Linked DNA regions of Alligator mississippiensis. The protein of the gene in region 1 purifies or fractionates together with the protein of each later gene. This does not show direct contact. Links are inferred from orthologs where the notes say so. Each region holds a gene or a part of one and is shown on either strand. Other genes may lie near its edges.

Region 1 (8,055 bases):
ATGTTTGGGTTTTTTTTAATGATTTGGAACTGATCTGGCTCATTTGGCCTGGGACACTAACATTTTTCCTTAAAAATAAATAATAAAAAAAATCTCAGTGACCCACGCAGGCCTGATGTGCACAAAGCCCATTGTCTCTGACACTGCATCAACATTGCTTGAAGCTTCCAAACTTGGCAGAAACTGTAAAGAGCTGGCCCCTCCAAGACAATCCTGGAGAGGTGCCAAGGGGGTTTCTCACTGGGGTCAAGTGCAGCTGAGACATGTCTACCACTGCAACAGCAATAAGAGTAACACTGAGAACCGCATTTCTCCCAGTAAGGTTTTCACAAAGGTGCCCACGGCACACTGTACATTAGGCACCAAGTTACTGCAGCACTGTGATAACCAGAGGGTACTGCTCCAACAGGCATTACCGTTCAGTTAACGTGGTACATGTCCAGACCAAACTGTTCATGGGTTTATACCAATAGCCAGTTTGGAATTACCTATCCCACCTCCCAAAACAAGACACTCTTTCAGATCAAGACAAGACATGATGGCCCTAGGGACAAGATCCTGCTTTGATTTTAATGTTAACCATCACTCCACCCCCATCCCAGTCCCGGCCATTAAAGGTTTCCCCTCGATTTATGCGGGTTCTTTATATGCGAATTCGCTCTTATGCGATGAGCATATTTAGACCTATAATTCGTTATATGCGAGGTAAGTTCACTCTTATGCGATCAGCATAGATGCCCCCCTGCCCAAACAGGTAAGTGTGTGGGGGGAGGGGAAAGGGCCGTGGCCCCACTCACCCCAGCCCCAGCTATATCACACACAGGCTCAGCAGAAGAAAAGAATGCAGGTCTACCCTGACACACAGATTTTCCTCAGCACATCTCAAAGCACCTCTATGGGAGGTACGGCCCTGCCCCTCTTTATCAGGTAAGAAACTGGAGGCAGAGAAAGGAGGAGCGACTTACCCATAAGCCACACAGCAAGTTGCTGGTGGAGTCAGGAGTGAAAACCCAGACTCCTACTCACTTCTAGGTCATGTCAGGCAGAACATGAATAGGCTAGTATTAAGAACTGACACATCGTTCTCCCCAGTCCAGACACAGCTGAAGATGTTCTTGCATCACACTTACAGCACCAGCACACCAACTCACACTTTAGTATTTCCAAGTGAAAGTTACTTTACCCCATGCAATCACATTTTAACAGGCATCAGGCTCAGCCTGGCTTCACGAGTCCAATGGAAGCCAAGGACTCCCCCTCTCCCCCTGGTCTTGTCAACCCCTTCCCTCTATTTCAAGCCACACGATACAACTCAGAACTGCATTTGAGATCAAGTTGTTCGCAGATGCCGCATTAAAGAGAATTAAATGATCTGCAGAACCGTACGGAAAGAGAAATCCAAGTCAAGTTTGGAGGGGGCAGTTTTAAAAAGAATTATTGAGTGTCTGAAAAAAGGCCAACGATGAGACCATTTGTTAGCTGTTCCCGTTTAACTGGGCATGCTGGGGGGAGAACAATGTTGATGTACCGAGATGAATCTCTTTAGCAACAGTCCCTGCCTCCCCTCTCCAGCTGTCAGGCATGCAGAGAAACCCCCAGCTTTGCGCATGCCTCAAACCTCAGAGAGACAGAAACCGCTTCATTCTGTCACCAGAAAGCAGCAGCAATTGGCCCTTGTGTCCTAACAAGAGAGCGTTATCGTTCCCACTTCCAGGCCAGGCTCTTTTTGCCACCTCTTACCCGAGGCATCTTCTTTGCACACAAAGACAGAGGCTGGGTAGGGAAGAAACAGGGGGGGGCGAGATAGGTTTGCCACCCCTTGAAAAACAAGTCACTTCAGAGGTCTGGTGCCATAACAGAGCCTGTGACAGTCCGGGACTGTGGCAGTCGAACTTGTGTGTACACCCAGCCTTCAGCAAGGACACGCACCTCCTGTTTGACTCCTGCACTGCCCTTCACAGGGGCCCAAGCCCCCCAGGTCCCCTCCCCACCTCATGAAATAGCACAATGTCTTCTTCCCTGCTTAGTCAGCAGCCCCCTCCTCTAAAACCAGCTCTGTTCCCAGCACCCCATGAAGCCCTCACTGGGCACCACAAAACTCCCAGCTGGGAAGGCAGCTTAAAGGACCCCTCCTTTTAGAGGGGTTAGAAGATGTTCTAGGGGTTAGAATGTTTAGGGGTTAGAAGATGTTCTAACCCCACACAGCAGAGCTGCAACCCCTTGCTGGGCCAGCTACATCCTGCACCCCCTCCTGCAGCAGGTGAAGCAGGTACAGCCCCTGCACTATCCTCCCCCCAGTGCAGCCCTCTCTCCCTGGAGAAACCCCACTCTTGCAACACAGTCCACTCACTGCTGCACCCCCACCCCACAGCACCCCTAACCCACTGCATAACCCTGCACCCCAAGTCACTGCATCTCCTACTACAAGCCCCTACTCCACTGCACCCCCACCCCAATGCAGTGTACCCCCACCCCACAGCACTCACGACCGCACCGCACCCCCTACCCATTGCACTGCACTGCCCACGGCATGGCACCCCTAACCCACCACAGAACACTGTATCTCCGACTACAACCCCCTACTCCACTGCACCCCCACCCCAATGCAGTGTACCCCCACCCCACAGCACTCACGACCGCACCGCACCCCCTACCCATTGCACTGCACTGCCCACTGCATAGTGCCCCTAACCCACTAGAGAACACTGTACTACACTGCATCTCCGGCTGCAACCCCTGACTCCACTGCACCCCCCACCCCAATGCAGTGTACCTCCACCCCACAGCACTCGCAACCGCACCGTGCCCCCTACCCATTACACTGCACTGCCCGGCTGCATGGCGCCCTCTACCCCACTACAGAGCACTGCACTCCCACCCCACTGCACCGCCACCCCCCCGACCCACTGCATAATACTGCACCCCACTACACCGCGCTGCACTACACCCCCTGCCCCACTGCACTCCCCACCCGGTGCCCGGGGCCCTCGCGCGGTACCTGCTCCCGAGGGTCCTGCTTCCATCCCATCCACCCGGGCGGCGGCCGAGCCTGGCTGAGCGCGGGGCGGAGGCGGGGGCGGGGGCGGCCACACCGACACCTCCCGCTGCCGCCGCAGCCTCTAGGCAGCCTCCTCCACGCCTGGGCCCCAGCGCGCAGGCGCGGCCAAGCAGCCAATCAGCGCCGCCGGCCGGGCCGGGCCCGGGCGCCAACAAAGGCGGGGGCGGGGGAGGCGCCCCCTGGCGGGCGGCCCCTCAGCGCGCGCCGCCATCTTGGGCTCAGAGCGAGGCTGAGCAGCTGCTGCAGGGCTCTGGCAGTGTAGTGCAGTGCATGCAGTGCATGCAGTGTAGTGTATGGACAGGCTGCCTGGGCAGTTATCCCCAAATAACCTGCTCAGTCAACTTGAGCTGGGCAAGCAGAGAACAGCCAGCTCCCACACTAATGCCTGGCTGCACCCCCTTGCCCAGCACCACCGTGGGCCTCCTGTCTTTCTGTGCGTGGGGTCAGAAATGGAGAGACGTGCATGCTGTTGTGTTTCTAAAGCCCTTCGCCTCGAACCCGCCTCAGGGTTCGCGTGAGCTCGGATAGATCCACGCACGGCGAGCTCGCATGTGGACATGTCCCAGGCCACCGCCGCGAGGAGCTGCGCTCGAGGGAAAGCCTGCTGAACCCCCCCGCCGGACGCTCGGGACAGCCTGGAAACATCCCACGACTGCGGCGTTTCTTTTAGCTCGAGAGCGAGCGAGAGACGGAGCCCCAAGGCACACATTTTCCCCCGGGGGAAGTCGTCCATCTCTGAAAACAAGCAGTCATTAAGTGGCTCATCGAGCACCCCGGTCGTTACCATCCCGCTGTAACGATGGTTGCTGCGGCAGGAAGGCCGGGGCAGAGTAACGCAAAGGGAGGAGGCAGTCGTGTGACGTTGAATCTGCAGGGGACGTGGAAGCGCCTTCCCGTATCTCTAGGTCAAATCTGTTTCTTCAGGTGGGACCGGGACATCTGATCAAAATGTCCTTATGCTCATGTTACCGAGCCACCCATTAAATGACTGCCATAGTAACTAAGATGCCCTACAGCACTGTCAGCTCACAGAAACTGGAACAGTTTGTATTTCCTAGGGGGATTATAGCCTGTTTGGCAGAGGATTTTTTTTATTTTGAGACTCATTTTCACTGCCAGTTCATTGAGTGAACAGTAGGGGATGTGCTTATTTATTTGCAGCTTTTATTCAGTTTTTTGGTATGCGCCTTGTTGGCACATGGCAGACCCCTTGGTTGGTAGGACAGCAGGGGCACGTTTGCTGGTGTCGTGGCTAAGAGCACTGCAGTCATAAAGCTGTGGCAGACGAAGGTCTCTGAAAACTTGAGTATCTTGTGATGCTGCAAGCAGTGCATTTTAGGAAGTGAATCTGTCCTGACTTTGCATAGCAGCCGATGCTATGGGTGGAAGGGGGGGTCCCCGTCTAACTGCAGGCCTGAGACTCTGGTGTCTGCATCTAACTAGATGCCTTCAGCTGCCACACGTCCCATTTCAGAACCGATTCACTTCCCATCCCACCAAAGCACTGCCAACCAGAGATGACAGGGACCCAGCTAAGCAAAAGGATGCCGATGTTCCCACATGGGAACATTGATACCTGGTGTATCAGTGCCTTAGGCAAAGGAAGGTCAAATGGCAATCCTCCCCTCAGGGAAACGGAGGTGAATCTACATTAAGGGCCTCACCAGGTTTTAAAACAAGGAGAAATGCAGTTCACTCTTCCTCACTCTAGCTTGAGCAGTCTCCATGGCTGCTGCAGTGATAGCTTGTATTGTGTTCCCTTGAGGGCTTTACTTCCAGGATGCCCAGGTTGGAAAGGGGTCACAAAAATGAGAAGCAGAAGGTGTTTGCTGTAGCACCATGCTGGATGATTAAGGTGGCCTTTCATGATTTGCACTGGTATGGATGGTGATCACTCATTTTCCTTAACACGAAGTGATCTAAAATTGCAAGGAGCACTTATCCTGCAGTTAAAGGACAGGACTGAGAAGCATGTAAAAGAATAACATGCTCTCTTGAGAGACTTATGATGAAATTTGCATGTCACAGATGGCAGGATCCAGTAGAACCAGAAGCTGGTCTGGATTTGAATTAACACAACTGGCCAAAGGCAGTTTCTGCACCAAAATATTAAATGAGCTCTCCCTAAATAACTTTTCAGAGTTATTTGGAATGATGACCTTATGTGTGACCTTACCATAAGCAGCACAGAGCTCGCTGGCATCATTTCAGGTGAATTCAATGCAGCCCAGGAAATAACTGAAAATAAGGACCAGCGTTCATCTTGGTTTTAAATCATGGGTCATGGAATTTAGCAAAGGAAAATATACTCAGAACAGGTCTGTTTGCTTCAAGCTAGTTTTAGAATTATAGGAAATAGGGCTGCAAGGGGCTCTAACCCCTCTTCCTATCCCAGGGCAGGCTCAGCTTCATTTAAAACATCTGGACAGATGTTTGTTTCAGTAACAGATGACCCAACCTTCCTAGGAAATCTATTTCAGTGCAGTCTGGTCAGTAGTCAGGGCCTGTTTTCCTATTTGCATAGGAAGGATTTATGGAGAAAACTCCTGATTGGATTAATGGGAGTTACCCAGATCAGTGATTTACACACCAGCAGCAAGAGAAAGCTATCTTGCAGTTGGATTTCTGAGCATACCTCAGTGCTGAAAGTTCCTTGGAGCCGGTAGCAGCAACAGCATCTGAAGAGCCAGTGCAGGGAGTGATGTGTGTTTGTGTTCACAACTGTGCACTTGTTCCTCTGCCTTGCACATAAATGCAGAACCCATTGCTGATGTAATTACTGAGAGTCAAACTATGGGAAATGAAACCCTGAGAGCTGATCATGGCAGCATTTTCCCACCAGAGACATCTTCCTCCTGACCTCATCACGGTCTCAGGCCCTGATCCTGCAATCTTGTTCCTGTAGATGGAGCATGAGTTCAAGGCAGACCCTGCCCTCAACCAATACTAGATGGCAGAAATGGGGCCTTAGAACCTTTTTTTATAAAGTAACAATTATGGTGCAGGGTCTGTTGTGTTCAGCATCTCCTTGGCAGCATACCACCATCCCTGCATTAGCTTATTTTGTACGACAGAAGTTATAGCTGTATCTTTATCTTTGTGGGCTTTGGCATTTTTATCAATTTGGCAGCTCTTGGCCATCAGAGACATTACCAGGGATCACTATGTGGAAGTGGATCTCGTCGATCCCCACTGCATTGGCTATCAGTGACTAGAAAAGGAACCTTCATAGCTCACAAATGTCTTCCAAGGTCAGTCCTCAGATGGGTAGAAACTAATTGAAAATATGTCATTGCAATTTGGTATAAGTGGAGCAAGGGGTGGGGAGTCAGGACTTAGGAGTTCCATTCCTGGCTCCACCACCGACTCCGTAATACACCCTTGTTCCTCAGTTTAACCCTCATGGAAATCAGTACCAGTAACCAATACATTCTTTCAACAGAGGGGGAAGAGCATGGACCTCTGCAGCTTAAGGAAGAAGTGAAGCAGTATCATGCAGGGTGAAGAACAGACTTCTGTATTTCAGGCAGCCCCAAGTCAAAACATTTTCTATTCAAAAGATTTGCCTACTCTTTCTGAATATAGATGGACAGATGAACACACAGATAGTGGTGTCTTAGGAAATGGGGGTTAGCAATAATCAGTGATCCAGTCATTTCCACTTCAACTTGGAAAGCTAGAAGGAGCCCTCTGAACAAAGGAGACTGACTGGAATAATTCATCAAGTGATGATGCTTTGGCCAGTCTGGTGGGCATCCCCAAACCATTGAAGCCTCAGCTACACATTTGACCCTCAAATCACTGGTGTTGTGATGACAGCTGAACTAGAATGATCCAGTATTGACGCTAATCTGATTAATGGTTGACAATCTAGCCTTTTATTTAAACTACAGATCCATGATTGCTGTGCTGGGTGCAGTCTGAAAAACTAGTCCTTGAGCTGCTGTTTCCCAGCAAGGAGGTAAGACTGGAATCCTGTTGGCTGGAGTAGGGAGCATATGACAAAGTGGGGGGACAGTAGTTAGAGGTGCAGAAACACCAGTCATAGGATTAATTGGAGAGAAGAGGGGACCACCTCTGTTGCCCTTAAGCAGTGAAAGATCACCCTTGAACCTGACCAACTTTTAAAACAGATAAGCTTTAGTGTGGTTCCATTAAATATGTTGCCAAAGCTGCTAATCCATTTTATGCTTATGACTCCAGCCATAAGAGCTGCTGCTCTTATGGCAACTTCAAATACAAATGGTGTGAGTACCAGGTTCTGTATCATTCTAAAAGGATTTAATCACCTACACAAACAGACCTAGCACTGATATTGTTAAAGGAGAAAGAAGTTCACTCTTCTGAAGGGTAATCATACCAGACAGAGCTGCATTAGCCAAGGGCAGTGGTGACACCAGCAACATCATCAAGTTTCAGTTAACCAGACATGGTGTCACGTTGGGTTTGTGTCATTTAAGTTCTCAGGTACAATTTCTACCAATCCTACCATAGTAGAAACCATTATTGGAAAAGGGATTGTACTGGAATTGTCCCTACCTTTACCTGTACTGCCAGGAAGGCTTTGGGGGTATTTGCTGCCAAATTGTGGAATGCTTATTTTACTACCGAGGACCTGATCCATAGATTATAATTACATGCAAGAGCAACAGGGATGATGGAAATCCAGAGGAATGATTGATGGATTTAGCCTGCTTTGGACCATGGTAACCAAGCTACATAGACTCCAGTGATGATAGTAAAGATGACAGCAAGCAGAAACCCATGAAATACAAGCTGTTTGGATCATGTCATACCTCAAGGAAGACCTCAAAGGACAGAAGAACCTGGAGAAGATGGTTGTTCTTACTTCCAATGTGTCCTGTCTCCAGCTCTCTGCAGTTGCCATGTTCCCTTTTGTCCCAATAGCAACTCACTGCTGGAACCCAGTTTCCCTCTGCAGCCAATATTCCCCGCAAAGTTAAATATATTGAATATTGATGGAAATACATCATCTA
Region 2 (7,143 bases), on another chromosome or scaffold:
GGTCATCAGGGAACCAATGCGAGACACAAGTTTGTTTGGAAATTTTAACAAAACACATATGGAGGCCTTAAAGGGAACGCTGCTTTGAAAGACCTGTATATTACCAGGTGCAAAAAGTTCTAGCACTAATAAATAAGGAACCATAAGTATATCTTATTTTAGAAGCTTTGTATACAAGTCTAAAGTACTGATAAGGAAATATTTTAAAGGGCGGTATAGGCAATCCAAAATGTAAGTGCTATTTAAATATACAAATTAACAATTCCTCATTATTTAAAACTGTTGGCTCTTTGTAATACCTCCTTGCAGGCTGTAATTTAATTCAGTTTCTCTATCACTGCTGTTTGGCAAGCACTGATCTTTCACATTTTTCCCCTGTAGAAGGTGCCAGCATGTGCGCCATATCACTAGCATTATCAAAACAAGGTGTCACGCTTCTGAGATATTATTTGTAACGTGGTACCACTTACAGTTTGCAATTAAGATGGGGGCCCATGTTTAACTGAATATTAGCATGTAGTATTTAGCTCCTTAAGATGGAACGTTCTGAAGAGGATGAAGATTGGAAATTAAGATCCTTATCGAGAACTTGAAGTTTCAAATCCCTGGGTTACAGTCATCAGGAATAAACTGCTGATAGTTACAAGTTACTTGGCAACAGGACAAGTGGCCTATTAGTATTAAAAAACTGACAACTATTAACAACAGAATGGCTATTACTGAAATGTTGAGACTTTGAGGGGGGCTGGAGTGGCATCTATGATTTCCTTCCTAATCCGCTCGTTCCGTTGTTCTTCATTCAAAAGCTTCATGCTCCTCTCCCAAGTGCTAGGACCCTGCTCCTCATCCCTCCTGGCTGCTGCCAGCGCCCTCAGAAGAGTGACACGCAGCAGCAGCAGCAGCAGCTTTCCTCCATCGCAGAATCTACTCTTGGCACCAGGACTGCTCCTCCTCCTCCTCTCCGCTCCATGCAGGTATTGTCCCCCCCCACCACCTTCTTGCTTTGTAAGCAGTTCCTGGCACAATCTTACAATTATAAGCTGCATTTTCTTTTCACTTCAAAAGAGATCTTGCTGAAAGTTTTGTGCAATGCCAAGGCAACTGAATTCAAACACTGCAGAGGATGTGGGCAACTACTTGAATTAAAACTTTCCAAAAAGTATTAGGACAATTCTCTTAATGCACTGGTGGACTTTCACATTTTGGTGACTAATTATATTTCAGTGCATCTTCAACCAACACTTTGCTCTTCCAGCCAAACCAGGCGTGTCAGCAAATATTTAACACCATATAGACTGGGTATTCTTTCCATAAAGGGAACGCTTATGTTTTAGTTTATTTACATTCTTTCTAGGCGTACTTTAATTTTGTATACAGACAAATGGTTTTTAAGCTGCGATTAAGAATTGTTCCCTTCAATTTGAAAATGACCCTAAAGTATTTTCTGAAGGATCCTATTACCTTTATTTTCAGGCTTCTATACAAACTGCACCTTAATTCAATTCTATTGTAACCCCACCCCAAATAAAATAGCATTTAACAGTTAAACAAAAGGCCAGCTCTTGAGTATGGTGCTACCAAAAAAAAAAAAGATATACTCAAGGGACAGGAAACTTCAATTTCCAGTGTTGTTATAAAGCTAACTTAAACTTCAAAATAGACTAGACCCCCAAAAAAACAGGACCTGAAAAATACGGTCCTAGCAGCTGCCCTTGAGTTTTTGCCAAGTTTTGAACCAGGCAGTCCTCCCCAACGCAACTCCCTTCATCGTAACTAGCCCTACAGAGGGCATGGAGGAAAACCAAAAGAAGGAAAAACTGAATATAGTGAAAGACAGTGCCAACGTGATAGCAGAGTTGCAGGTATCTGCAAAAACATCGTCCTACTAGGACACCTGGCACGTGCCTTTTCACAAGAGCAATATACACAACCCTGGTGTCGGCGTCTTAGCGTCACATGCTAAGTCATCAATATTGAAACTCCCGTGCCCTCGGCCTCCCAGCACATCTCCAGCACTGGTCACGGGCAGAATCGTGGCCTCGATGCCTGGATACAGAGGATGACGGGTTGCTTCACAGCAGAGAGCTCGTACGAAGCTCGTGGGAAAGGCTGGTTCATCGACGTTAAGGCGGGGTCGACTGGACAAGTTTGGGGGGAGCCGACCTGCAGCGCTGCGTCTTCCCAGGGGCTCCTCCTCGGAGCAGGAACCCCATGCCCCCCCCCCCTTCCCACCAATGATTTGCACACGCGCGTGTGCAGAGCGACTACACAGCCGACCGAGCCCGATCCGTCTAAACCCGGGATTTCTGCCTTCCCTTCTTTTAAACCTTTTTGCAACCGGTGACCTTGCGATTCCAGGCAGACATCGCAGCCGGTCTCCAGGAAAAAAAACCCCCAAAAAGAAACGGGCGACGGACTCGCGCGCGTGTGAATCCGTCTCCACCGACCGCGCGGTCGCTCGTTGCTCCGGCGCGGCGCGACATGACACCACCGCGCGGGAGCGACACACGGCCGCGGGGTCGGCGCCGCCGCACAGCTGCTCGACGACGCCGTCCCTTCGCACTCGGGTGCACGCGTGTCTGTTGCTTTGCACACACACACACGAATACTCCGTGACGGCGCGGTCGGCATCTTGTGTGGACACGCACGCACGCACACACAAATACACACGCACGCACACGCACTCACGCACACGCTCGCCCCCGGGCCCGGGAGCAGGGCGGTTTGTTTCTTACCTGCGTAGTTTTCTCCCCACGTCTTTGGTAGCTTTGGCTTCCAACTCTCTGCAACAGAAAGGCCGGGCGGTTGGTCGGTCGTTACGGCGGGCGGTCGTTACGGCGGTCGGTGTCGGGCCCCCGCCCGCCTGCCTGCCCGCCCCCCTCACCCCGCCGCGCCGCACCTCACCTCATGTAGGTAAAGTGCTCGGAGTCCGGCCCGGGCCCGGCGCTGGCCGCGGCTCCTAGGCGGCCTGGGCCCGGCACGGCGGAGCGGGAGGCCCCGGCAGCTGCTGCTGCAGCGACGCCGCCATTTCCTGCCTCCTCCTAACCTGGCCGGGTCCGGCCCGGCCGCCCCGGAAGAGAAACCCCCGCCCGGGCAGCACTTCCGGGGCGCCTCCCCCTCCCGCCAACATGGCGCCCTGACAACCGCCCTAGCAACCGCCACAGGCCCGCGGGGCAGCGGGACCCCCACAGCCAACATGGCGCCCTGGCAACCGCCCTAGCAACCGCCACAGAGCATGGTGGTCGGGGGCGCCTGGGCCCGAGGTTCACCATTGCACCCCAAAATAGGCGCACGATGCGTGGAGAATGAAAAGCGGCCTTCCCCCGTCATTCATCTGAGCACAGCGCGCCATGAAGCCCCGGGGGTGAAGGCTGCCGGGCACGGTGTCAGCGCTCTCATCCGGCAGCAACTGTTGTACGGGACCGGCCGCTGTTCTGCGGCTCCGTCGATACGAAACCCCACGCCTCGCTGTCCTCTGTTTGTGTCTGGGGCAGAAAAGTTGAGGATGTAAAGCTGCCGGGTTTCGTATCGGACAACGGGCCTGTCCTCGATGACGGCCGCCCAACGTTAGGCAACCATCATGGAGGACAGGCCGGTTTCCTGCTCCTCTCGTGATACGAAACCTGATGCCTTTACATCCCCTGTTTTTCCCTTGAAGACAAAAACAGAAGACATAACGGCGTCGGGTTTCATATCAACAGAGGACCGAGGACAACTGGGCTGTCCTCTGTGGTGGCCGCCCGACGGTAGGGTGGCCATCGTAGACGACAGTCCGGTTTTCTGCTCCTCTGTCCTCTCTTGCTACGAAACCCAATGTGTTTACGTCCTCTCTTCTTTTCAAGAGAGGAAGTAAAGGTGTCCGGTTTCGTATCAAGAGAGGACAACCAGACTCTCCTCCACGACGGCCAACCTAGCTGGCGTGGGCCCGCTGCCTTAGACCGACATGGCGGTAGGGCGGCCGTCAAAGACGACAGGCTGGTTTTCTGCTCCTCTGTCCTCTCTTGAGACAAAACCCGGCGCCATTTTGTCTTGAAGAGAAAAACAGAGGACCTAAAGGCATCGGGTTTCGTCTCAAGAGAGGACAAAGGACAACCGCGCTGTCCTCTACGATGGCCAACCTGGCTTGGGCACGTGCTGGGAGGAAAGGGGCATCGGTCGCTGCCGAGCGGGGAGCGAGGGGCAGGGGCTCCGCGTCAGAGGTTGCAAGGGGGAGAGGAGCAGGGGAAACCATGCTCAGACCGGGTCACTCTCCCCCCAGCCTTCGGTGCAACACGGGCTTCTTGGCATGCTCAGCGAACGCGGGCCTCGGCCCACCGTGAACGTCTAGAAGCCCCCTTAAAGAGGGAGGCCGCTGAGAACGCAACGACGGGTTGCTTAGGACGAATGAAAAAGAAACCAAGAACGGGAACGAGGGTTACGGGTTCAAAACCAGGGATGCGGAGGGGGACACAGAGCAGAGCGCGCCAGCCAGCGCCCACTCGGGGCGCCAACTCCCTTTGAATCTGTTCCAGGAGGTTTCCGTAACGCCGACGGACGTGCCCACGTGTTGGCATCTATCGGCCGTGGGCTACGGCGCGTAGACTTTGCGTCGGGAAGGCAAATGCACATTTCTACGACATTTTCAAAACCCACTGGACTATTGTATACGTCGGATGCAACATTTCATTTTTACTAATGAATTTAACATTTCATGTTTATTAATGAATGCCCTATTATTTATCTCCTGGGTGCCTCTCAGCCGTCTCCTGGGGATTTAGAGACTTCTTGGCAATCCTAGCACCTGCTGCCCCGCTGAACGAGTCGAGGGAGCCGGCGGTGACGTGGGCAGAGGACGGAGAGGACAACAGCACCATCCTCGCCCGGGCACTTCCCGGCCAGCCTCCTTCCTCATCTTGCAGATGACCAGCGTGGCCAGAGCCAGGAGGAGGTTGACCGAGAGATCCCGCGGCTTGGTGGGACCATGCATGGGGAGTACATAAAAGGAAAGGTGTGGGGGGAAACGCAGCCAGACTCTCAGCCGGAGCTGCGTGACACAGGTCTATCTGTTGCTTTACCACGGGACACTGCCCATTAAGAAACGCTATGAGCCTCCCTTGAAAAGGAAGGCCGCTATGAATTGCTTGGGACGATGAAAAACACACCAGGGACGGGAGCGGAGGTCAAAGGTGCACCAGGAGGGGACACCGACTGGGCACGATGCACCTCTGGTCTGACCCAGTAAATGGCCGTTCTTATGATCTTAATGACTTGACATAAAGGAAGCTAGGCCTGGGTTTTAAGGGGTATAATGGGATGAAGAGACCTTGCAAACAGTAGCGTCGAGACAGAGCTCGTCTGACAGCAAACCGGCCGTCCGGGGGGGTGCAGCCACAAAGCAGACTTGCAGTTCTCAAGGCAGCAGCCCACGAACTTGGTGAATCTTCTTGACAAGGTTCAGAAAGAAACCAAACCTCTACTATTGGTTTCAGTTCTGACAACACTTTACTAGAAAGGAAGCGCACAAAAACAGCTGGTGGTCTAAAGGCGCTAACTTTTGAGAGAAAAAAAAATATGAATAATGAAACGAATCAGTGTCCGCATGGGGGCACCTACCTCTAACCAAAGCATTCATTCAACACAAAAAAAGAGGATTTATTTAGTCTAAAGCAAGAAGCGTAACTAGGCTTCACAAGAGTAAACAAACAAATGAATAATTAAAGCCTTGGAAAGACCAGGGGATTTGTGTCTGTTTGGAACAACCTCTCTAGGATAAGACGCAGAAGTCCAAAACCGTAGGACTCTTAAATGTAGATCGTGCAAGCAGTAGAAAACATTACGCTGTAGGAAGCAAAAGGGCTTTAGCCGGGGATGGACCAGACATCCAAACGGACCGTTTCTGCCTCCAGTGGATATGGCTTTATTTTGAGGCATCAGATTAGCATCCAAGCCAGGTGTTGCACGCTACGGACTATACAAGAACTGTCTCCTAGAAACTTCCCCTCGTATTCATGATTTCTCTCTCACACCCCCCCCCCCACACCACCCCATTCCTCCCCACCCACTCACAGCTAGATACTACCCCTGCAGCAACTTCAGCAATTGCTTACATGGTCCGTTAGGATGAGGAGAGCAGTTAGTATAGTTTTAACTGTTGTGGAAGTGCAATTTATGAAGTTTTAAACGTGGAGGAATGTTAATACGGTGCCAGAGGCAGCACCAATCAGCTTATTACAGATCACACGTTTCAAACCACCAATCTAGGATATGCAAAGCAATGAGTGAAAAAGCAAGCGAATCAGGTCCAAAGTGAAGAATTTTCTTATTGGCATATGGGTATTCACATCAATTTTTCATTGGCCAAGTAAGGTATTCAGAGACTCTGATGATGGGGACCATATGTCTTACTAGGCAGGTAGGAATTACCCGTGACATATCCTGCAATGAACATGCTTCTCCATTTAAATTGGGTCCTACAATTCCTTGTTTTGGAAAAGCATCATTTGCTAAACACCGGGCCAAAAGAACCTTAAATAATCCACTGGAAAATATTATCCTAGGCAAACAATGACATCTTGCTGTGTTTGCAGCCCAAAATATTGGCACAGTGAGAATCTGAAAGTGGAAGTAAAGAACAAAACAAAGAAATAATGGCAAGAATTTGACATTATGATTTAACACGTATATTTTACTACTGTGGTGCCCAGAGGCCCCATGTGCAAACACCCCCAAGCAAACCCTCCCTTCCCCTACCAGATTATACTTGTGGGCTCAGAGCTACACGTTCGTTTGCACGAGAAGACTCCGCATGGATGGGCCTGTGCGGAGGAGCTCATACGCTGGATGCCCAAGGAAACAGGTGATACATGACTGCTGAGAGAAAGGGATGCAATCCAAGTATATACAGCTCAATTAAAATATCATTATAAATAGAAACCATTTCTGCCACCTAGCCTTCCTTGTCAGCAGTCATTGAATGATTTTTCTACAGACATCGGAGCAGAGGTGGATCCCGAGGAGAAATACTTCTCGCTGTTGAAAATTCAGCAATCTAAATGGTTAGTACTGACATATGTAAGGAACTGCTTGCTGACAACATTATTTTTAAGCTCACGGCATTTTTTTTTACCAGCGCTGGGACACATGAATGTGACTCACTTCTAGCTT
Region 3 (7,257 bases), on another chromosome or scaffold:
AGGTATCGTGGCCACAGCAGGGGCCACCATCCCTGCAGCTGTCACCTCGCTGCGCCTTAACACACCCAGTGTCACCCATGTCACGAGTTTTGCTTGTCCGCAACTTGAGGTGTAGTTCCCCCCAAACCCCTGCACCAATCTCCTTGAAACTTGGCAGGCTTTGTGGCCTCCATAAGAGCTACTATACCTGCAGTTTTGACCCCTCTGTGTTGTAACACACAGCCGTGACAGGAGTTTGGCTTTCAAGAATTTGGGGTACAGTTCCCCCCAAACTGCTTCACTGATCTTGAAGTTTGGCAGATTTTATGCTCTCAGCAGAGGCTACAATCCCTGAATGTTTCATCCAAATTGGACAACAAACAACAAAGTTATAGATATTTCATTGATTCCCCATTATACCCTATGGCCAGATCTCCAAGGTGGCTCTTGGCCCAATCAAGGTGGAAACGCGGTCCAGAGCTCCGGATCAGATCGTGGCCACCCGAAGCGGCTGGGTCCAAAGCCGGATCAGATCGCTGCCGACTTGCACAGGCCTACTGTATTTTAAAGCCCTTACAAAGCCACCCACCAGGTACATAAAGAGCATAGAGGCAGCTACAACAGTTAATGGGCTCATCTACGTGAGATGCTAAAAGCCCATTGGACTAATTCTACTGTGCATTAGTGCAGCTGGCAAAAACTGTGCTAATGCGCAGTAGATTAGTCCAATGGGCATTAAGTGTCACACAAAATGCCAGTTACAGTGCATTTAGTACCTGTTATTCTAGACACTAAAATTAATGTGCCATAATTACAGTGCATTAATGAATGTGTAGACACACAGGTGTATTCCAAAATAGTACCTTGAGCATCAGCACTTGATTTCTGGAGGGAATAAAAGTTGGACAGGGCGCTCAAGAAAATATGTTATTCTTGATCCTCTTTGGAAAGTTTCATGGGATCTAACTTCAGCTGGATTTTGGTAGATGGGATCTCAATTTAACATCATTAAATTGAGCATCTGTTATGACTGTAATCAGTACAGAAACTCAAGTGGTAGTTGGGCTGTATGGTAGGTGTTAGCTGTAAAGATGGGTTGGCAGGACAGCTGTTAATGTTTTGGAATGGATGGGGTCAGAAAGCAGATATCATGCCTCAAATCATTAACCAGAATAATTTAATGGGTCTAAACCTCAATCAAGTGGCAGCACCTGCAAAAAAAAGAGGCCTTGAAGGTCAGGCTTCAGGAACTGTGTGTCAATCTGAAAGACTTTAACAAGGACATAAAGGAGATGAATTGAGAAGGAAAAGAGGAGATCTCTATACATGGCTACAGTAGTTACAAATTCAGTATGAGGTTGGCACTAGTTGTATAAACCCTGCATAATCCATAGAGGTGCAAGGATTAAGAGTCAAAGAAGGAAACCCCCTTTCCCTGTAATATTATCCTAGCTGTGAAGACTGGAGGTCAATTGTCCCAGGTGAAGCTATTTGAAGCAGCCTAGCAGGAAGGGAAATCTGCTGGGTTGAGTAATTGTCATCCTGTATAAAAGAAAGAAGAAAAAAAGAGGTAAGGAATTGCTTTGAAGAGCCTGTTGTATTGGGGTGAATATGTCTCTCTTTCTTTCTTTCTTTCTTGTAAAAGTAAGTTGAGTTGGTTTCCAATAAAGCTGGTATTGCTGGGTAATTTTGTGGTGGCTTTGGTATAGGAAAGGAGATTGAAAATAAGGGGGGGGGGGGTTCCCCCCCACTTCATCTAATTTTACTTCATTTTCCCCCTTTACAGATCATGTAAAAAATATACTGGTAAATCTGATGCAAAAATAAAAGAAGAAAATAGAGACTAAAGAGAATAAGAGTGTTATAAACCAGCTTTGAATCTTTCTACATTTCCACTGCGAAAGACCCATTACATAGTTAAGCTACAGTATAGATGGGGCCAAACTATACCTTGTTAACTAAAATAATGCCATAAACATGTCTTGGTTCTAGTTAGCATGGGTTAAAAATCCCGGTTATGTTTCCTTGTGGGAAGCTCTGAAGGAAAAAATTCTTGCCTGCTTGCTTGGGAGTGTGGGGAGGGATCTAGTATTTAAACGAGAAATGGAAACAGAATTCTTAAGCTTCTTCTAAAACTCTTTCGTTTCTAAAGTTGTTGGTTTTTTTTTCTTGTTGAAAAACTAGAAACCAGCCAATAAAAACGTTTCAGACTAAGATTGTCTTGCCAAAATTAAATACTGTCTGATTTGGCAAAAATGCTTTGATGGGAACACTTGACCATTTCTAACTCCAGGGCTGTGACTAAGGCCTGAACTTATTGGTTGAGTTCCCTCCTCCCTGCCCTGTCTTTTTTGTTCGTCTCTCCTAGAACCAAACCTTTATTCGTTTTCTCAACGCAGTCTTCTTTCCCATTACCTAAAGGTCTTTGCTTCTCTTGAAAGTTCCAGCATTTCTAGCTAGCGGGCGTTTTCTTATTTTACAACCAATATAGAAGTGGTGTTTCTCATTAGTCAATGAGCTGACCAGCATGCCTATACGGGGGGGGGGGGAAGGCACTTCAGAATACGTTTGTAGTTTTGAGTCTCAAAACCATATATTCCATCTGAAGTCGGTGACAACTGAGAGCTCGCAGCAGCTCTTGAATTTGAGTCCCTACTCTCCCACTCACATCAAAACTGGCACTGAGCATGTAAACCAGCATGGGGACTGTAACAAAGTGCAACCGTCATTTTAAAAGCAGTTACAAACCTAGCATAGCTGACTCCCAAATGCAGCCCTACAAAAATGGAGCTTTTAAATGCGTAGTCCCCAGAGGGATGCTGGAAACTGAACTGGGTGGGAAGTATGTTTGGATAGGGGCTTGTGAACAAGCTCCCTTTTCTCTGAGTAGAGTTAGAGACCAGGGAAGAGTCCAGACGGGAAAGTCATGTCTCCCTAGCTTTCTCAGCTGAAGGATCGGGCTGGGGTTGTGAGCCCAGGATATAATAGCCTCTGCTCTGCTCTCTAGGATGCATCTCATAGCTCATTCACTTTTATTTCAACATTTACGTTGCTGGAGCCACCAGCTCTGGCCATTTGAAAGGGAACTGTGGAGTTGGATGAAGCCAAGCTTGGATCGACACGAGAAGCCTTAGGCATCGCAACATTTTCAGCCTTGTCTGGAGGCAACATCCTCCGCTTAATGGTATTCCTAATTTTCCTGCCTGTTGGGTAGGAGCAGCCAATTTGTCCCACAGGTGCCAAAAGCCCAGTCTGAGGTGGCTGCACCAAAGGCCATAATGGATGAATTGCTGGGCTGAGGGGAAGCCAGAACAAACTAAAATTTGGAGGTTTGATTTGGCATCAAAGCTGAAATCCCCCTGCCCCCAGAAGGCATTCTGGATAATCAGCATAGTTTGATTTTTATTTAATTTAATTTAATTTTATTATTACTATTATTTTTACCTGGGTCTTCCAGGGAGAGCCCCTAAAACATAGTATTGCCCAAAGTCACCTTACTCTGTCTAGCACTGCTGAAACTCTCCTGTGCTGGCAGGGAGAGCTAAACTCCAAAATGGCAGACTGAAATGCCTAAAGCAATGTCCCTCACTCAAATACACGAGAGGGAGTGTGAGACTGCCCCTTGGCTTTTGACCTAGTCCCTTGAACTTGGGGGTCTGGTTCATGATATATGAAGCTGGCTGCTTAGCCTAAGCAAACTAAAGGAACTAGCCCAGGGCAGGACTGATCGATGTAAACTGACCTTTTTCTTACGTACCTGATTGCAAGTTCAGTCTGGCATTGATTCCACAATGCCGTTCCCTGAAGATAAGCTCCCTGAGCTACAAAATAGAGTCTATCCTTTGTTTTCTGCTGCCACCCTCCAGACCTCGCATACAGTAATAATAGCTCTCCTGTATTACTTAGGAGGAGGCTTAAGAAGCAGGTGAATTGAAGGGTTTGGAGCCCTGGGAGGGGAAATTCTTGGGAGTTTGTTGCAGATCCCTGAAGTAGCTGGAGCTGTGGGAATAGATTTGATAACAAAGGGTATCCAAGGACAGATGGTGCAAGGCTGAGGAGACACAAGTAATCAAGTCTCAGGAGAGAGTTAAGGAACAAACAGAAGAAAAGAAGAGATCCCAGGCTTTGAAGAGAGGGTGAGCTTATACCTGAGGGTTACCTTTCACTAAGTTTTCTGTGAGCCTTGAGGGGGACTGTGGACCACAAAGGGCAAGGACCAGCTGTCGGGGATGTTGTATACATTTGTTTGCCATGGAAGAGCTGGATTTTTTTCCCCTCCCTCATTTTGCCAAAATTACCTGCTCATCCTGGTGAAAAATGGAGAGTGGCTGCTGCTTTGGTAATGGAAATAGATGGGTTATTAATATTGTAGGAAGGGTTTTGCAGATTCACAAAACATGGATAGAAAAGACTTAAATCTACCCTCAGACTAATGCAATTTTTTTCTTCCTCAAATATTAGCAGAGCACGCTGTCTAGTGTTTGTTCAGTTAAACATAAGCAGTAAGTCTGTAAATGTTGGGGGGAGGGGGTTGATGTCTTGTCTTCATTTTCCCTTATTTAAGCATATCCCTTCAGTCTTCATTACACCAACCTGTACCCCTCTAAATGGGTCCTTTGCATCTTTAGGTGTTGCATGCTGCGAGCATATTCCCTTCAAGCACTGTCAATCAGAAAGCAGTGCCTGTTTAATAAAATAATGCATTGCACACAGTAAACTTCCGTGTCTCATGTCTCATAACACAGCTATGAGGTAGGCACTGGGTTACCATATTCCACTGTCCAGGATCCTGAGGGAAGATAGAAAAGTGATTTGTCTAAAGCCATACATAAAATATGTGATAGAGGAATAAAACCCAGGATTTCATATCATGCTCATCATCACTGTAATATTTGAACACATTCTAGTAGCATATTAAGTGATGTGGCTAGCATGTCGCATGTGGTTCATCTCTGTCTCTTCTCGCCCCGCCTTGTCCCCCCAAGGGGAAGCATTATGTGCATAGTACGGTAGTTTGTTTTGGTAGGCTATTGGTTTGGGGTTTTTTTGTAAAATGCAGACACTGCTCTGTCTGCACTAGAGAAAGCAGCTTGAAGAAGTGTGCCTTGCACTTAGAATGGGAAGGGATGAAGTTTCTCTCCTTTTGTCGTGTACCCATTCCTCTAATCATTTTCTTTACCAGTCCTTTCTTCTCTTTCCGATTGCTCTCTTTTGAGATTAAAAAAAAGAAAGCTGTGGTTATTCAAAGTGGAAAACCTTGAAAATAAGAGCGTTTTCAATGAGCATTTAAAAGTTAGCAGAGAGGTTTTTAAAAATCTTTGTTCTTGAAGGAAAGCATTTGTTTGCAAAGCAGATTGGCAGTCCTGTTTTGTTCTGGATGTAAACTGCTTGGTATATAATCTGAATTTAACAGTTACCAATTAACAGGAAGATTGGTACAATAGCAAGGGCAATCACACAGCCAGGGTGGGATTTTATTTTAAAGGTGAGTTTAAGAAAACAAACCCAACATTTTAAAATGTGTTGAAGAAATTGAGAGTAAATGATGTTATATTTATAACACCCTACAGCTGAGTGCTAAAGAGTATATTTGGTGAGAAAGCGAAAACATCACAAGCAACAAAGTCAACTACTGGTAGCATTCAGTACAACTGCAGCACTTGACTACATAGGGAGGATGAAAGGGGACTATGAGCCTGATAGAAGAGACTTGAGGATGGGATGCATAAGGAGGATAGCATTCCAGGGAGCTGGAGAAACAAGAGGAAAAGCAAAATATTTAGAAAAAATGTTGGAGAAATGAATTTTATTAAAAAAATGAGAAGTTGGTAGGAGTAGAAAATGCTGAAGTAAGAACAGTCTGATCAGGATAATAGTGGGGAAAGCAAGGTCCAAAATGTGCTGTCAATATTTATGGTTCTTTGACTTCTGACATTAAATAATTCTCAACAATTAAAGAAGGACTTAAAGAGTATTTGCAAAACAGGTCACTGTAACATATATTTTGCAAGTATAGTTGCACATAGTTCCATAATCCAAAACGTAAGGTGAGAGAACAATGTGGCAACATCTACCAGAAGTGGGGCAAAGTGAGATACTTGGGCCATGTCATCTGGAACAAACTGAGTGGCCAACGCCAGTAGGATGTCAAGAGCTCCTTCTAGTGCTATGGTGTGACTACATCAAGCCTTCAGCTGTGTACACCCGAGTTCAAAGTTTCCTTAAGATCACAAGGAAAAAAATAAGTTGCAGAGAAGGGCTTAGAACTGGACTAGATGGGGATGCAAAAGACTCACTATTGTTGGGGATTGGCAAAGTACCAGCGGGGCCACTGCTGGCATGGTGGTATAGGAATAGAGCTCTTTAGTAGTAATATCCAGGTGCTGGGCGGCTTTGGTGTAGCTTTGCAGGGCTGAGCATGTATGAGTAGGGCTGCGCGCAAATGGGAGCGGGTGCAGGACCTGCCTATATCACATTTTACACTTGCCTCCGTGATTCAACCTAAGCAACACATTCACTTAAACATTATTTGAAACGTTTTTTCCTCTCCAAGCCCTAACCATCCATTATAATTGGTCATTCCTTCTTCTCCTTTGATTAATGACATTTGAGTGAGAGGGTGGAGAATATACTTTGAAGTTATACACAGAGCTTTGATTTTTTTTTTTTTTAATGGTTTAATATTTTGGCTCATGCCACATGCAAGCAATCTCCGTATGCAAAACAAAATGCTCCCCAGCGCTGGCTCCTTTGAGCATGTCCTGTTAACTTCCTACGAGCAAAACCCTTTTGAACAGCCATTTCGGCATGTGTGAAATTGATTTCATATCCACCCTTCTCAGTGAAAGAAAATGGCGGCACAGAGCTGTGGGCTTTACAAGCTCCTCTTTCTTTCTCTCTCTCTTTATTTTTGAGATATCTTATTCTCACCGCTTGTCTCAGCTGTACAAGACAGATGACTTTAAATCTCTCTGATGCTGTGTCTGGTGCCTGCAGGTTAGCCACACTGACTTAACATGCAGTTTCGACTCTGTACCTTCTGGTGAGAAAAACAATAGGAAACAAATTTACAACTGCCCCTCCCCAGGTAATTTGCATAGCGCAAAGCCCCCACTACCTCCCACCCCTTCCATGAATGTCTTCATGTAATTAATTAATACCGCATTCATCAGAGCTTAATTCATGTTCCTGTAGTACACGAGGACGGCAGGGGAAGGGGGGGGGACTCTACAGAGGAGGACGGTAATACGCTTTGGCTTCGTTGTTCTACCGTTGGAA
Region 4 (7,795 bases), on another chromosome or scaffold:
CCCCTGCTGTAGCTGCAGGCACCGTGGGGCTGGGAGGAGCTGTCCCTTCCCAGCAGCCTTTGCCACACAGGCACCATCCTCCATGCAGGTTGGCACTTCCCTGCCTGCAGTGGTCCCTATACCCTGGGTGGGGGGTGCTGGTTGGAAGTAGGCTGCAGCAACTGGGCCCCACCCTATGGTGCTTTGTGGGGGGCAGGGGGCACCAGGCTAGCTCTTGTGGGGACCCCAGGGTGGCAGAGCTGGGGGCAGGGGCAAGGAATGCAGAGGGTGCCCCCAGCTGCTCCAAGGTGGGCTCTCACAGGGGTCCAGCCCTGCTCCGGCAGGCAAGGGGAGTCGTTTCTATGAGCTGCCTGCGCTCCTCCCCCCGCCGCCTGGGGCATGTTGGGCGCCTTGGGGGCCCCATGCCGGTGCCAGAGGGCAACCGCAGCCAGCTCAGGCCTCTGCATCGCGGTGCGGGTCCAGGCTGGGCAGGGAGCAGCATTTGGGCACCAGACCCAGCTGTGCCCCCAAGACCCGGGTTGCAGGGCCTGCCCAGGCTCAGGCACTGAGCTGGTGCCCACTGTCCCGACCGCTCTGGCACACACACAGAGTCCTTTTCTTGCTCGAGGCAGCCCCTGGCACTGCCCCAGGCACTGAGGGGAGAGGCAGGTCACCAGTCTGCCATAGCGGCAGGGGGGTAGTGGCCAAGAGCAGCCCCATGGTCCTCAGCAGGGGCTCACGGCCGCTTGGCTTCACCATCCGCTGATGTCTCCTGCGCTGGCAGTGGAGCTTCTGGGAAGGCAAGGCGAGGGGTTAGGGAGACCCATGTGCTGGAGGGCTGGCACAGCCCCTCCCCCCACGCCTCCAGCAGGTCACCATCCTAGGGGAAACCGAGGCATGGAGAGACCTTGCCCACAGCCTCGAAGCAGGTTGGCAGCCCAGCCAGGCATGGACCCCAGGAGTCCTGGCTCCCTGCTCCCTTCCTGGCCATGGGGTTGGAGACAGCTAAGCGTGTCCCGGGGGCAGCTATGCCCAGGGGGGAGGGTTGCAGGGCCCCCCAGTTCCCAAGACTGGGTCAGAAACCAGCTGGTCCAGGGCCCACGCCTGGGGCCTACCTCCCCACTCCTTGGCGCTAGGGCCTGGGGGGGTCCCAGGCTGAGCACGGAGTGGCACCATCTCCTCCAGGCTGCGCAGCACCGTCATGGTGCCCCGGGCCGGCGCGGCCCGGGCCCGAGCTGGCTCCAGCACCCTGCAGGAGGGGGCATGTCAGCTGGGCATAGGGTACAAAGCTCTGGGGTGCCCCATGCCCCCCCCCTTGTCCGAGGGGTCAGGAGCTCAAGACAGGGCTCTTCTCCCTTCTCTGGGCATGCCCAGACCAGCTGGCTCCTGGGGGTTGCCACTGGATGCCTCGCAGCCCTCCTATACCCCACCTTGCCCACAGCTGCCCACTTGGGGACCCCCCTCCTCCAGCCCAGTTCTCACCTGTCGGGCGACGCGACGCCTGTGTGGCTGAGGGACCGCCGTACCTGTGGAGACAGCAGGAGCCCATCAGCACCCTGGACCAGAGCCAATGGGAGGTGGAAGCTGCCCAGCCCCCGGTTCGAATCCAGGCCCCACCCCCAGACCCTCCTCAATAGCTGCTGGGAGACTTCTGTCCTGCAGGGCAGGTAGAGAGACCTCCATAACTCCCCCAGACGCCCAGGAAGCAAAGCATGCTGGGTAACCAGGTGGGCCACTGCTTGGCCCAGTACCCACAAGGGCTGTGCCCCAACTGCACCCTGCTCCCAGCAGCCCAGCACCCCCGACTACCCCCGGGGGGGCTGCTCTTACCCTGTGGGAGTGCGGGAGCTTGGTACCCACGAAGTCAGAGGGCAGGGGGGCGGGCGAGGGCGGGTACAGCTCGGGGGCCAGGCGGGCATTGGCGAACTTCATACACTCCTCCAGCGTGGACAGGAACTGGCTGCAGGTGGCGCGGAGCAGGGAGGAGGCTTCGTTCATCCTCTGGAGGACAGAGCTCATCACAGAGAGGAACCCGACCCCCCAACCCAGCCTCTCGTTCACAGGGAAACTGAGGCACAGGGCAGGGGAGCCTGCTTGCCTCAGGTAACTGCTTCCAAGAGCAAAGGAGGGATAGATGCCACCCGCCCCCCGCCAAACTCCTGCTTTAGCCACTATACTCCACTCCCCTGCCAGACACTGCTTAGGTGGTTGGACCTAGCCTCTGCCAGCACCCCGACAGAGCAAGTGGCGGCAGGTACGCTGCCCCCACCCCTCTCCCCCCGGGCACCTCGACATCCAGCGGGGCGCCGTCGTCTCGGGGCCGCGTGGACTCCTGCATGTCCAGCACCTGCTGGGTCAGCGCGTCACAGTACAGCCGCAGCTCTGACAGCTTCCGGCCCAGCGACTCGGTGCTCAGGGGCGGGTCTGGAAGGTGATGGACACAGTGAGCCTGGCCCCTGCCCCCTCCCGCAGAGCGTGTAGGGGCAGAGATGCACCCACTTCTGGGGTGGAACATTCCAACCTGTAGCAATGGGTGCATTACAGGAGGGGACGGGAAGTGGGTAGAAATGGTCCTGGGGAGGGCCGGGGAGGGGGGCAGCTCAGCCCCACATTGAGGAAAGTGGAAGGGGCTCATCAGACATCAATGATGGAGCTTGCAGCACAATGCCCCCTGCTGCTGCGCTGCGGTACTGCAGCCAGGCACCCCCAACCCCCTTTGCCCCATACTGCAGCCCCCCCCCAAAAAGACCCAAGGGGGAGGCACCAAGTGCGTGTCCCCACCCTGCCTCAGTTTCCCCCTGTGCTATTCCAGCCCGGCCCTACCTTTCTCCTTCTGGCCCCTGCTGTCTCCCAGGCAGGCCTTGGAGCTGCCCAGGGCCACCAGCCACTTCTGCCGCTCAGCAGCGCCTCCCGCCTTCAGGTAGAAGTACTGCTCGCCGGGGATGGTCAGCTCCATGCGCGTGGCGTCCGTGGGGTGCACTGCGGGGCACAAGGCGGCACCGGGGGTCAGGGCTCCCGTCCCAGTGCCGACAGGCGGCTCAAGCAAGGGACAGGACGGGATGCCTGGGGCCCCGCGCGGCCTCCAGACCCAGCTCAGCACTTCTGCACTCCGGGTGCGGCTGGGTCTGGGGGGGAACGTGGCAGCCCGAGGAGACCCCGTGCCATGACGGTCCCCTCCTGCAGTGGGAATGGCTGGAGCAGGGGCAGGGGGGGGGGGTCCCCAGGCTTGCACCCACCTTTGATCTCGCAGACGGCCATCTTGATGCTGCCCTTGCTGCCTTTGCCCACGTCGTCCTGCGAGTCATAGTAGGACAGGATGCCGTTGTCCAGCACGAAGTACCGCGGCTGCCAGCCTGGGGGAGGAAGGAGGCAGAGGAGGGTCGTGCCCCGGTGCAGGGAGCCCAGGCGCCTCCTCGCTACCTGGGGGGCAGCCCCAGTCCCACGGGGGACCCCGGCCCCGAGGTCACACCCCGCTGGGGAAGGAGCACCGGAGCCCCGCCTGGTTTCTGGGTGGGGGCAGGGCTCAAAGGTCAGGGGTCAGCTGTCCTGGTGCCGCTGGGGGTAGTGGGGTAGAAGTCAAAGCTCAGGGAAGAGGAGGGGGCAAGCAGGACAACTGCAGGGGGGGTAGTAGGGCTCAAAAGGTCACAGGTCAGGACTGGTTGGGGGCATTGTGTTCTGATCGGGGTCAAAGGTCAGCAGAGTACTATAGCCTCGCTCCCTTCCAGGGACCGGGGTCAAGGGTCAAAGGTCAGGGCCGCCTGGGGGATGTTGCGGAGGGCGGGGCAGAGGTCAAAGGGCGGGGGCAGGCGCGGGGGCTGCCGGGACGGCGGCGGTACCGGACAGGTAGTTGGTCCATTTCAAGAGCGCTCCCTCCATCGCAGGCGCAGGACGCGGCCCAGGCGCCGCCGCGCGCCCGGCCAATCCCCGCGCGGGGAGGGGGCGGGCCCCACTGCTGCCGGCCAATGAGAAGGGCGGCAGGCGCAGGGGGCGAGGCCCGAAGGGGTACGCACCCAATCAGCGGGCCAAGCCGGGCACCAGGAGGCAAGAGCAGGGGGCGGGGAAGAGTGGTCGCGCGCAGCCAATGGCAAGGCTCCGCCTCCATCGCCCCGCCCCTTGCACGCAAAGACCTGTGGGAGGCGTAGTCCCGACCCCATTCGGCTCTCTCGAGAAAGCCGCAATCCCGACATCCTCCGGCCGCGCGGGGCATTGTGGGCAACGCAGTCCTCCCAGCAGGCCCCACGGCGCGCGGGGGGTTGTGGGTAGGGAAGTCCCGCGGCCCCGGAGCCTGCCGTTCCCAGGATCCACCGGGGCGGCGCGCGCGGAGCTCTCTGGGTAGCGCAGTCGCACGTGCTCCTCAGCCAAGCCGCGCGGGGCATGCCGGGAGCGCAGCCCAACGTTCCCTCAGGCTGAGCGGAACTCCCGCTCCCAGGATGCCCCGCGGCCGCGCAAAGAAGCCCCTGTAGAGCTCCCCCCTCCCCCCCAGCCAATGGTCGCGCGGCCCTCCCCGTCCCAGCATGCCGCGCGGCGGCGGGCTCGGGCGCGGGGCATGCCGGGCAGGCGAGTCCACCCGGCGCGAGGAGGCCTCGCTGTCCCAGCCTGCCCCGCGCTCGCCCCCGCCAGGGCCCCCGCAGCCATTGCGGCGGCGGCGCGCGCTGGCGGGGGCGGCGGCGGGGCCGGCGGGGTGCGGGGCAGGCACGGCGGCGCGGGCGGGGCCGGCGGGGGGAATGAGCGAGGGCGAGGAGGAGGAGGAGCCCCGCGCCACCGCCAGCGGCGCCTGCCCCAGGTACGGGGGCGGGGCCTAGCCTCGGGGGCGGGGCTTCCTCCGAGGCGGGGCCTCACGTGGGCGGGGCGTCATCGGGGGCGGGGCCTGGGCTGCTCCCGGGATGAGGTTGCCGGGGCTTCTTCCGGGGGGCGGAGCTTCTCTGGAGGGGCGGGGCTTCTCTGGGGGGCGTGACTGCATCCACGATGAAGGCAAGGCTTTCCAAGGGGGCGGGGTCAGAACATGGGGGCGGGGCTTAACTCTTGGTGGGGGGCGGGGAGCACAGTGGGGCAGCCCCCTTGCTCTGCTGGGGCAGGATCGGGCCTCCCCTGGGGCTGCTGGGGTGGGGGAGGATCTTGCCCCCGGCCGACCCCTCCGCGCCCCGCAGCCTAGAGCAGATGCTGGCCTCCAACCCGGGGAAGACGCCCATCAGCCTCCTGCAGGAGTATGGGACGCGCATAGGCAAGACGCCCGTGTACGACCTGCTGAAGGCGGAGGGGCAGGCGCACCAGCCCAACTTCACCTTCCGCGTCACCGTGGGCGACATTGGCTGCACCGGTCAGTGCCCCCCCCACCCCGCCTGGCGGGGTCCGGCTGGGACCCCGGTGTCCCGGTGCCGGCCCCGCTCCAGCTCTGTGCCCCCCGCAGGTCAGGGCCCCAGCAAGAAGGCAGCCAAGCACAAGGCGGCGGAGGTGGCCCTCAAGCTCCTGAAAGGGGGGAACATGCTGGAGCCGGCGGTGCCGGAGGAGCCCAGGTGAGGGGTCTGCGGGGGGGCGGGGGCTGCTCTGACCCCCCCCTCCCAGCACCTTCCACCCAGCCGGGGGGGAGGGGGGGAGGAAGATCAGGGGGTCTTGGGGAGGGGCAAGAAGCCGACCGTCCAGGACACCTGGGTCTCTGCCCCCAGGGGGCAGCTCGGGTGGGTCCTTTCTCTGCCCCGTGCCTCGCTTTCCCCAGCTGCGGTGCTGGGACGTGGGGGTGGAGGAGCTGGGCAGAGTCCCGGGTGCCAGCGGGCTTTGCCTCAGCCCGTACTCCTAGCACCAGGGTGGGTCGGGGTGGGGTCCTGGTGCCATCGCGCCAGGTGAGGGCAAGCTGTGGGGGGGCAGGGGTCGCCGCCTGCTTTAATGATTGTACCTTTTATTTTCGAAGCTCTGCTTTCTCCCTAGAGCCCCTCCCCCCGCTGGACCCTGCCGTGGCCCCCCCCGCGCCCGCCCTGCCCGCTGCCTCGCCCAGGTAAGGGCTGCCCTGGGGTTGGCACTGAGCCCCTCCGCACTCTCAGGGGTGGAGTAAGGGCGTTGCAGGGACTAAACCTGCCCCCCCCCAGCTCCACGGGGCCGGGTCTCCCCCCCACTACTACTTGGGCTTCCTTGGGTCTGTCATAGGGGCTCATCCCCCACCCCTGCAGCAGCCCCTTGCCGGGATCGGGGTGAAGGGCCTGCCCGGGCAGGTTGGGCCCCTTCAGCGCCTGCCCTTGTCTCGCTCAGAAGCTCCCCGCTGGAGATGAAGGCACCCGTGTCACCCCAGCAGTCCGAGTGTAACCCTGTGGGTGCCTTGCAGGTAGGCTGGGGGGGAGGCTGCTGGGGTTCCTCATCCCCTTGGGCTCCTTGTTCCAGCCTGGCCTAGGCAATGTCTCCTACCTGGATGGAGTATGGTCTCTCAGGTGGAGCTGGAGGACAGGAGGTCTTTGTGCTTCAGTTTGCCCTACCTGCTCTGCTTGGAGGCCGGTGGGGCTGGGGGAGTCCCAGGGAGGGGCCCACTTACCCCACCCACATCCCTGCCCCCAGGAGCTGGTGGTGCAGAAGGGCTGGCGCCTGCCCGAGTACACGGTGACGCAGGAGTCGGGGCCGGCGCACCGCAAGGAGTTCACCATGACCTGCCGCGTCGAGCGCTTCATGGAGATCGGTAACCCCAGGCAGGGGGGCGGGGGCCGGCTTGGCCTCAGACCAGTGACACGCAGCCCCTGGTGTTAACAGAGCTCACCAGGGGCCTGTGGGCACTGACCCCATGCCCTCCTGCTGCCCCTCACTTCCGACCCACAGCCCCCCCAGCCCTGGCGGTGACCCTCACTCCTGACCCGCTGCCCTCTGCCCCCACCGGCCCTGCTGGTGCCCTTCCCTCCTGACCTGCAGCCCCTGACACCCCCCTGCCAATGCCCCTTACTCTTCACTCCCAAACTGCAGCCTCCTGCCTCTGCCAGTGCCCCTCATTCACCACCCACAGCCCCTTGCTCCTCCCTCCCCACAGCTCCCTGCCCCCCAGCCCTGCCGATGCCCCTCACTCCGGCCTTCTCTGCGCGCTGTACCAGAGTTAACCCTGCATTGCCAGGTGCGCAGCAGCGACATTATACCCCACCTTCCTCAACCTTGCAGGGAGCGGCACCTCCAAGAAGCTGGCCAAGAGGAACGCAGCCGCCAAGATGCTGGTGCGGATCCACAATGTGCCCATGGAGCAGCGCGAGGGCAGTGAGGCCGAAGCCGAGGACGACCAGTTCTCCATCGTGAGTGCAGGGCTGGGGTGCATGGGGTAGTGGGTGGGGATGGGCATGCAGCTCACACTCCCCTCTTTCTACCTGTGCCAGGCGCCAGTGCCCAAGCTGGACGGGCTACGTGGCCGCCTACCCGGCTGCACCTGGGACTCCCTGCGCAACTCAGTGGGCGAGAAGATCCTGCACCTGCGCAGCCAGCCGCTGGGCGCTCTCAGCCCCGGGTACTGCGGGCTGCTGCAGGAGCTGTCCGAGGAGCAGAGCTTTGCCATCAGCTACCTGGACATTGGTGAGGTTTCCCCCCTGCACCCTCCCAGCCCCAACCCCAGGACCCTTTCTTCCCTCCCACCAACCCCCTCTGGGCTGTGTCTCCATCCCTGCCCCTAGCACTAGCTCCTGGGTCCCTTCTCCTAAGTCCCATCCCCCGTAGAGCAGGGCCCTCCCCAGCCCAGTGTGGTCCCAGCCGCTCTAGATCTCTGCCCTTCTCAATGCCCCTGACCCTGACCCCTGCTTCTCCCCACAGCCGAGCAGAGCCTGAGCGGCCTGTACCAGTGCCTGGTAGAGCTGTCCACGCAGCC

Evidence for each region.
Region 2: the proteins of protein argonaute-1 (region 1) and TNRC6A purify together in Homo sapiens (affinity purification with mass spectrometry; 10 studies listed by BioGRID and IntAct, with this or other methods). This does not show direct contact. The link is inferred for Alligator mississippiensis from reciprocal best matches to the Homo sapiens genes AGO1 and TNRC6A.
Region 3: the proteins of protein argonaute-1 (region 1) and TNRC6C purify together in Homo sapiens (affinity purification with mass spectrometry; 5 studies listed by BioGRID and IntAct, with this or other methods). This does not show direct contact. The link is inferred for Alligator mississippiensis from reciprocal best matches to the Homo sapiens genes AGO1 and TNRC6C.
Region 4: the proteins of protein argonaute-1 (region 1) and TARBP2 purify together in Homo sapiens (co-immunoprecipitation; 4 studies listed by BioGRID and IntAct, with this or other methods). This does not show direct contact. The link is inferred for Alligator mississippiensis from reciprocal best matches to the Homo sapiens genes AGO1 and TARBP2.

Annotation. Positions count from the first base shown.
Region 1 is NC_081829.1:8,966,095-8,974,149, reverse strand, and holds the start of protein argonaute-1, read right to left. Parts: upstream 3,108-8,055; 5' UTR 3,024-3,107; coding exon 2,999-3,023; intron 1-2,998.
Region 2 is NC_081836.1:58,591,660-58,598,802, reverse strand, and holds the start of TNRC6A (trinucleotide repeat-containing gene 6A protein), read right to left. Parts: upstream 3,057-7,143; 5' UTR 2,910-3,056; coding exon 2,905-2,909; intron 2,784-2,904; coding exon 2,736-2,783; intron 1-2,735.
Region 3 is NC_081831.1:15,730,888-15,738,144, reverse strand, and holds the start of TNRC6C (trinucleotide repeat-containing gene 6C protein), read left to right. Parts: upstream 1-4,038; 5' UTR 4,039-4,115; intron 4,116-7,066; exon of another isoform or gene 7,067-7,257. UniProt on the Homo sapiens protein: Plays a role in RNA-mediated gene silencing by micro-RNAs (miRNAs). Required for miRNA-dependent translational repression of complementary mRNAs by argonaute family proteins.
Region 4 is NC_081838.1:8,695,039-8,702,833, reverse strand, and holds the start of TARBP2 (RISC-loading complex subunit TARBP2), read left to right. Parts: upstream 1-4,609; 5' UTR 4,610-4,703; coding exon 4,704-4,762; intron 4,763-5,126; coding exon 5,127-5,296; intron 5,297-5,386; coding exon 5,387-5,492; intron 5,493-5,884; coding exon 5,885-5,968; intron 5,969-6,117; coding exon 6,118-6,292; intron 6,293-6,519; coding exon 6,520-6,637; intron 6,638-7,104; coding exon 7,105-7,232; intron 7,233-7,313; coding exon 7,314-7,506; intron 7,507-7,740; coding exon 7,741-7,795. Other genes in the region: pleckstrin homology domain-containing family A member 3, read right to left, coding at 716-771, 1,095-1,228, 1,462-1,505, 1,810-1,980, 2,267-2,403, 2,803-2,958, 3,216-3,332, 3,816-3,855. UniProt on the Homo sapiens protein: Required for formation of the RNA induced silencing complex (RISC). Component of the RISC loading complex (RLC), also known as the micro-RNA (miRNA) loading complex (miRLC), which is composed of DICER1, AGO2 and TARBP2.